Linked DNA regions of Coturnix japonica. The protein of the gene in region 2 purifies or fractionates together with the protein of the main gene of each other region. This does not show direct contact. Links are inferred from orthologs where the notes say so. Each region holds a gene or a part of one and is shown on either strand. Other genes may lie near its edges. The genes, in order: ENAH and ZYX.

Region 1 (4,302 bases), on a different chromosome or scaffold from region 2:
GCAGAATCCCAATTCTACACCATTTTGTTCCTCAGCTTCCATAATGCAGATTTCCACACATCTTTCAATGTCATCTTGTTTACAGATGAGCTTCTTGTATAAATATGATGGGAAGTTATACTGTTCTTAGAACCGGGGCACAAAATTCTGCTGTTATTTATATTTTAACTACTTTTTCCCACACCATCACCACAACCCAGCTGGATCAAAGCTGAAACCCCACCAAATATACCTATCCCTGGACACCTATTGTACTGTGCACTCAGGAAACTATCTTCAGGGCAGTACTCAGCTAACTACAATACAATAAGAGGAACAAGTGTTAATGAAAATCAACTGTTTACTCAAAGCTAGGGGGGAAGCTGCTAGTCAAGTTGTGTCCCAAAGCAAGTAACTTCATATCAAGTTCCTCATCTCTTAACTGGAATACTAATATTAAAAGTTCGTCAGCAACCAGAAGCCTCAGCAGATACTGCCCAAAGAGCATTTCATTTTAATTCAGATAGAGAACAAACTACCACAGGAATTCCTCTGGTCAACATGTGCTGATGGATGTTTGCGTCCTACCTTATTGTTGGTTACTTCATGCTATGAAGAAGCTCTCGACAACTATATTTAGTTGGATCTAACACAAGGAAAACTAGTTTGCTCTTTGGTAACTGATCACCTAAGCAGCCCAGACAAAATGTGAGATCTGAACATCAAATCATCATAATTATTTCAGGCTTGAGATGACTGAAGATTAGGCCCTCACATATGTAAAAGGCCAAAGGACATAACAGAAACAAAAGTTATGGGCTGGGGGAGGGCTGCAGCTCACCACAGGATTACTTCTGGTATTTATTTATATGATAACCGGAGCACCAACTGCATACTTACCTACAGAACAGCAATAGCAGAATGCAGTTTATGCATTTCAGGAAACCATCAACATCATGTAAAAACCTATTCTCAGCAACACCTACAAGAACAGAACCTATATCTGAAGCACCGGTTGCTTTCCCTATTCACTCTCTCGCTCCTCCCCATCAGGACTTACCTTGACCAGCAAACACCCATTAAAACACATTGCCCAAGCGTAGCAGGGTGTGCAGATATTGGTTTGAACATGTCTCAGAAATACAGCGTCAATCCTAGTCTAAACAAGTCCAAAGGGAGAGCGTGCAGTGAAAGCCTGCTATTGTACTGGAGTTGGAGCAATTAAACAAAACCAAGACAATTTAATAGTGCCTCTATAGAGAGAAAACGCTGCTTTAACCACATCATTTTCTTAACTTGTGCAGTTTAATTGGTACAGCTTGCTTTTTTTTAATAGGAGCCCTGCAATCAAGCCTTTAAAGTCAGATTTTTCCCAAATACCCAATGACAGCTCAGCGCGCCCATTCAACTCCCAACACCGTCTCCCTTCCACCAGCTTCACCTTCTGCACTCAGGCACAGGATCATTAGCGTACACTAACTAGAAGCTTGAAGACAACTACTCCAACATCTAAATAAGCAACCTAAGGGTAGGTTCAACTTAGGCACTTCCCGGTTATGCCGGTTAAGGGAAGTATTTGCACTGCCTCTCAGCTGCCAGAGGTCCTGAGGCAGACGCTTCAGCAGCAGCAAGGTGCTGGGACACCTTCCCTTGCTCCGCGCCGACCACACTTTGCCAGCATAGAAACTGGATTAATACATGGCCCTCTCCAAAGGTTTATGGTGGAAGTCCGTGCTAAGGACTGCCCAAGGGAGTCAGGGGCACCCCATGTTTGAAGGGTCCGGGTGTGAGCCGGGAGCTCAAGTTGTAAGTTTGTACTTGCGGGGCACCCCGCTTTTACAGCGATGCAGATGGGTGAAAATAAATCAGCACAACGCGAAACGAGGGCGAAAGGAGCATGCGAATGCTTACGGCTAACAAAGAGAGTGAGAGGGAAATACGGGAAAGCATTTTCCAACAGAACGGCAGGGACAAACCACGTCCCACCGCTTCCAGCTGCAGTGCTACCGTTGGCATAGAAGGCACACGGGGAAAAGGGGAAAAACAAAACAAAAGCAAAAACCTTGAAGTTCAGACCCGTAATTAGGATTCTGCATGAACGGACACAGCGCCGCAACAGAGGGATCGACCCGTTCTCACCCTGCGGACCTCTCCGCACTCGGAGGGGCCCCCGGCCTCGGCAACACAAAGCGGCTGGAAGCCCCTGGGGGCTGCGGGGCAGCTGGGGCCGGATCCGACGAGAGGACGACGGAAACGGGAGGAGGAACGGGGCGGGAGCGCCGCGGGGACAAATGAATGGGGCGCACGGAGCCGGGTCCCGAGTGGGAGCGGGCGGCCCCCGCCCGGCGCTGTTTACATCGCGGATCCCCCGAGGGGGGATTCCCCCTCCCCGCCGCCCGCTCCGTATCGATCTCGCAGGGTGCAGCCCAGCTGCTGCAATGCAACACGCGCCGGGAAGGGGCAGAGAAGGAGGGGGGGAGGAAAAAAAAAAAAAGAGAACGACAGAAAGGCACGGAGAAAGAAAGGCGCCGGGCTGGGCCGCCCCGCCAGGGCACTGCGGGCACAGCTCCGCCAAGGGTCGGGGCTCCCCGGCCGCTCCCCGCCCCGGCCCGGCCCCGCCGCCCCCCCCAGGCCCCTCAACTTCGCCGCCGCGGGGGCCGGGGCCGCCCCTCCCCCCGCCGCCGCCGCGGCCGCCGCTAACAATGGGCCCCTCCCCCGCGGGGCTCCCCTCGGCCCGCCGCCATCCCCCCCTCCTCAGCCCCCAGCCCCGGCACCGCGCCGGCCGCTATAGGGAGGGGGCCCCGCCGCCCTCCGCCCGGCCCCGGCCCCGGCCCCGGCCCCTCACCTCATGGTGCCGCTCCCGCCGCCTCGCTCAGCTCCGCGCTGTCCCCCGCCCCGCCGCGCTCTGTCTCTCTCGGCTCCTCTCGCCGCCGCTCCGCGGGGGCCGGCGCCTCAACGGACAGCGAGAGCTCCGGCAGCCGGCGCCTCCCACCCGCCCGTCTCCGCCGCTCCCTCCGCCGCCGGGCCGGGCCAGACCACCGCGGGGCGCCGGGGGTGGGAGGGGACGGAGAGGTGGGGGAAAGGGGCGGAGAGGAGCGAACCAACGAGCGGGAAGGGCGGGGGGACGAGGGGAGGAGGGCGGCAGCGCGGGGGAGGCCGGAGACACCGGCGGGGCCGCGGGAGGGCGGGGCGAGGGCGGGCACGCCCACCCCGTGAGGGGCTACGGCTCCCGGGGCGCTGCGCCGCCTATCGCCGGGGGTGCGTCCAGGTGTGATGGGTGGGTGTCGTTGTTCTGAGGCCGCCCGTGTGCCGCCCTGTGCAGCAGCGATGCTTTTGCATCACTGATTTGATCTTTCCTTCACAACTGCCATTGTTTTCTAGGATTGAGTTATTAAAAACATATAGGATATGAGAAAGAAAGTCGGTAGTTAGAAATACTACTTGAGAAAAAAGGACAGGCTCTGAAATTCAAACTGATGGATACCGATTTTGTGAAGGAAATGAACATGTTTTTACTGGCATAGGGATGATGTCAATGAAAATGTATCTGTAGAGGTGAATCACAAAAGGCAGATGAGTAATCAGAAGAAAAGCGGCATCATACACTTAAAAATTGAGTGGGTACTTCTGACAACAATGTGTGCACAGTCTGAAATAGGGGACTCAAATGAATCCTGCTAAATGCGTTTCTCTTCATTGTTTCCATTCAGCACTCGGGACGCTGGGGACTGACTGTGGATCATAAGAATCTTGACGAGTCAGGAGTTTTCTAAGGTCTGTGGTTACTGTATCACCAGAATGTCCTCCAAATAAAAGGTTTCAGAAGTAAGCCATTCTGACGGTGAAAGATAACTTGAAGCAGCCAAATATAAACGTGAAGATCTATATCTAACTGATATATCTAAGCATCCATATAGATATATGCCAGATCTATATCCAGCTGGCTGTAGTAGGAGATACATCGGTAGAAACAATGGCAGAGATGTTGGGACAAAAAGGAGTCTTTTCAGAGATCCCAATTGCTCTACACTAGAAAATATCAGGATGGTAATGCAGCTGTTCTGATGTGACTGTTTGGTCACATTAGTCACATCTAAAGGAACTTTGGCTGTGACAGGTGTATAAAAAGCACTGAAAGTGCCTCAGCAACAAGTCTGCCTGAGAGGGGATGAAAAGAGAGACAGAAGCTGTTACACACTGAATAAAAGTAAAAGAAAAACCTAACAAAAACCTATTAGCGTTATTTGTGTTATCATGCTTGGTGTTCTTAGCCAAATCAGATATTGGTCATAGCTTGATTTCTCAAGACATGCAGTGTAGTAC
Region 2 (3,540 bases):
ACCATGAAGGAGGTAGAAGAGCTGGAGATGTTGACCCAGAAACTAATGAAGGATATGGACCATCCACCTTCAGTAGAAGCTGCTACTTCTGGTATGTTCTCTTAGTGAACAGCAGCAGGACTGAGACTGTGGTGGGTTTTTAAACCTCCTAATCCCTTTCTACTGCTGTTGGTAGAGCTCTGTGGCTTCTGTCGGAAGCCCCTGTCACGGACCCAGCCAGCTGTGAGAGCTCTGGACTGCCTTTTCCATGTGGAGTGCTTCACCTGCTTCAAGTGTGAGAAGCAGCTGCAGGGGCAGCAGTTCTACAACGTGGATGAAAAGCCCTTCTGTGAGGACTGCTATGCCGTGAGTAACTGAGACAAAAAGCTGCAGCGGGCTGAGCTTGCTGTGGCTGTTCTCCTCTGTTTTTCATTTCACCTATCGAGTGTAGTCTCCTGGGGATGGAGGTTTGGATTAATATTGTCTTACCTGTTCGTTTTGTGTTTAGGGAACCCTGGAAAAGTGCAGTGTCTGCAAACAGACCATCACGGACCGGATGCTGAAGGCCACCGGTAACTCATACCATCCTCAGTGCTTCACCTGTGTGATGTGCCATACTCCTCTGGAGGGGGCCTCTTTCATAGTGGACCAGGCCAACCAGCCTCACTGTGTGGATGACTACCACAGGTATGGAGGGAGCATGTGCTCGTGGTATCCTAAAGCAGGCAGATTCCCTCACATCTGTTTAGTTTCGCTGCAAAATAGACATGGCTTTGCCACAGCAAAGTATAAAAACGAGTCAGCAATGCTCTGTGTTAAAACGAAGGTCTTTTCCCCTCTATTATGTGACTTGTGCCTCTGCTTCCCGTACTTCTGTATGATGGTGAGAAACCTGCAGCGGTCACGATCTCTGCTGTATTTGTGTGTTGCAGGAAGTATGCTCCACGTTGCTCAGTGTGTAGTGAACCCATCATGCCAGAGCCTGGGAAAGATGAGACAGTGCGTGTGGTGGCACTGGAGAAAAACTTCCACATGAAATGTTACAAGTGTGAGGTAACCCTGGTGGCCCCGCTCTTCTCATTTACATCATCACTAAGCATCTTTGAACTTTCCTTTGCTGACCAAACACACTAATGTTGTTTTCAATGACTTGTAAACATGTTGAGCAAGGTTTGGAATCATAGAATATCCCAAGTTGGAAGGGACCCACAAGGATTGCCAAACCCAACTCCTGGTTCCACCCAGGACCACCCAAATTTCAAACCTTATGACTGAGGGTATTGTTCAAATGCTTCCTGAATTGCAGCAGCTTGGTGCTATGACCTCTGCCCTGGGGAGTCTGTTTCAGTCCCTGACCACCTTCTTTGTGAAGAACAAGAAAAAGGTTTGATGTTCACAGATCACAGGTTGATGAGCAAGGACTTTGCGTACATGTAGCCACTATTAAAGCCCTAGTATGGCAGCTGTTTCTGCCAGGGGAACTTGCAGGGATAACAGAGGGGACTGTGCTCACCTGCTTAAAATGGTTTCCCCAATTACCACAGTCATAGAAAGAGCAGTGGACTGTGAGCCATTGTTCTGATCTGGTAGGACATTGCCTACATTGTTGTCTGTGTCATCCTGGCCGTTGGCTGTCACTGAGCTATCCCTTTTCTTATTATTCCATTTAGGACTGTGGGAGGCCCTTATCTATTGAAGCTGATGGAAATGGCTGCTTTCCACTGGATGGGCATGTACTATGTATGAAATGTCACACTGTTCGTGCTAAAACAGCGTGCTGAGGGGCTTGGAGCCAGCATACCCTCGAGACCCCCTGCACTCAGTACTCTTTCCTTCCCCACCATTGGCCTACCCCTCTGCCTGACGAGGCAGACTGCTACCAGTGAAGATTCCAACACACAGTTGGTTACCCATGTAGGATTCACCACTTGTAGACTTCACTATGCGCACCCAATAAGAAAGGACCTCTTCTCCCACTGCCACTTCCTGGCCGTACTGTATATTCCAGGCTGAGGACTGTGACTGAGGTGAGTGCAAAATCTCAAGACAAGAAGAAGGACCAAATCTCCACCATCGCCTGGTGGAAGGAGCAAGAATGACCTGGTGGCAGCTGCTGGGAAAAGGCTGAGCGTTCTTCTGCTCCATGAAGCCAAGAAATGATTTCACATCATAAGGTGGAAGCCGCCTCCATCTCAGCACTGCTTCTGTCATAGGTTTTTCCCGTGCCACCTCATTATCAGGATGTCTTCCCCCAACGCCTTCATCACTTCTGGGTAAGAGTGTGGAAGCAGAATGTACTGGGAGCTTCTGTTCTAGTTGCTGGGAAGAGCTACCCTACTATAGCCTTTCTGCTTCTAATGGATTCTATTGGCTAACTGCCCTGTCAATATTTTTTTCTTCTTCCCTAGCCAGATTAAACTGGCAGTGTTTGGAATCCTGCTCAGCTCCTGAGTTTGGACAGTTTAACTTTTTTCTCTTCCTAAAATGAGTTGTTTCCCGGTGTGGTTTCTGGACAGTCAGGGTGGGCAAGAATAAGAAAACAGTCCAAAGAATGGCTGTTATAAGCATATCGTGAGGAGGTGCCTCAGTGAGAGGATATGAGATCTCAGCGCACTGAGGAGCTCTCAGTGTTCCAGCAAGAGTTGTTTCACAGCTGTCAGTAGGAGCTACGATGTCACTGCAGTGTACTGTCTGACTCTGTGTTACTGCACTGAGCCTCGCTCCTTAGACTAGAAACTCTTAAAACAGAGCAAACCTTTTGAATAACTACGCTGTCCGACCACTGTTTGCATCCAATAAAATGGTGAGGTTTTTTTTTCCATTAATACGTCTCTCCTGTGTTTCTTTAACAGCCCATAAGAAGTGATGTCTTAGGCTGTAGGGAATATATCGTTGCTATTCCACTCAGCCTCCCAGAGATGTTCAGAGGCTGAAAATGGCCTTTCTCTCTCCGCATACTGGTTTCCTTTTCAAGCTGTTTAGTTTCCTGCTTCCCCTCACTGAAAGCAATAGAATGCCACATTTCAGTACAGCAAGAGCTGCCTTACCTCTCAGACATACTGTATCTTAAATGCTGTAACCTAGACGTGGCCAAGGCCTGTCCTGCGACCTCCCCACCCCATCATGGTGGTAGTGTAATCCCTACAAAATCTTGCTGGCCTTCCTCTGGTATTGCTCCAGTAAATCCATGTCCTGGTACCAAAGTTGGACAAAACACTCTAGGTGTCTCATTGGAGAGGAGAAGGGAAAGGAAGATCAAGTGCACCCTCAGCAACTTTGCAGTTGACACACCCAAAGGGCAGGCTGCCATTCTGAGAGTCATAGACATGCTTGAGCATGGGGAAACTCCTTTCAATTTGTGAAGGGGGTCTATAAGAAGGAAGGGGACAGACTCTTTAGCAGGATTTCTTGTGACGGGACAAGAGGAAATTGTTCCAAACTAAGAGATCTAGATTGAACGTAAGAAAGAAGTCTTGCCATAAGGATGGTGAAGCACTGAAACAGGTTGTCCAGAGATGTGTTGGATGCCCTGCCCTTGGAGACATTCAAGGTCAGGCTGGA

Evidence for each region.
Region 1: the proteins of ZYX (region 2) and ENAH purify together in Homo sapiens (co-immunoprecipitation; 4 studies listed by BioGRID and IntAct, counting the BioPlex papers as one, with this or other methods). This does not show direct contact. The link is inferred for Coturnix japonica from reciprocal best matches to the Homo sapiens genes ZYX and ENAH.

Annotation. Positions count from the first base shown.
Region 1 is NC_029518.1:15,043,126-15,047,427, reverse strand, and holds the start of ENAH (protein enabled homolog), read right to left. Parts: upstream 2,996-4,302; 5' UTR 2,830-2,995; coding exon 2,825-2,829; intron 2,573-2,824; exon of another isoform or gene 1-2,572. UniProt on the Homo sapiens protein: Ena/VASP proteins are actin-associated proteins involved in a range of processes dependent on cytoskeleton remodeling and cell polarity such as axon guidance and lamellipodial and filopodial dynamics in migrating cells.
Region 2 is NC_029516.1:69,743,425-69,746,964, reverse strand, and holds the end of ZYX (zyxin), read left to right. Parts: coding exon 1-91; intron 92-175; coding exon 176-345; intron 346-487; coding exon 488-666; intron 667-911; coding exon 912-1,032; intron 1,033-1,649; coding exon 1,650-1,760; 3' UTR 1,761-2,804; downstream 2,805-3,540. UniProt on the Homo sapiens protein: Adhesion plaque protein. Binds alpha-actinin and the CRP protein. Important for targeting TES and ENA/VASP family members to focal adhesions and for the formation of actin-rich structures.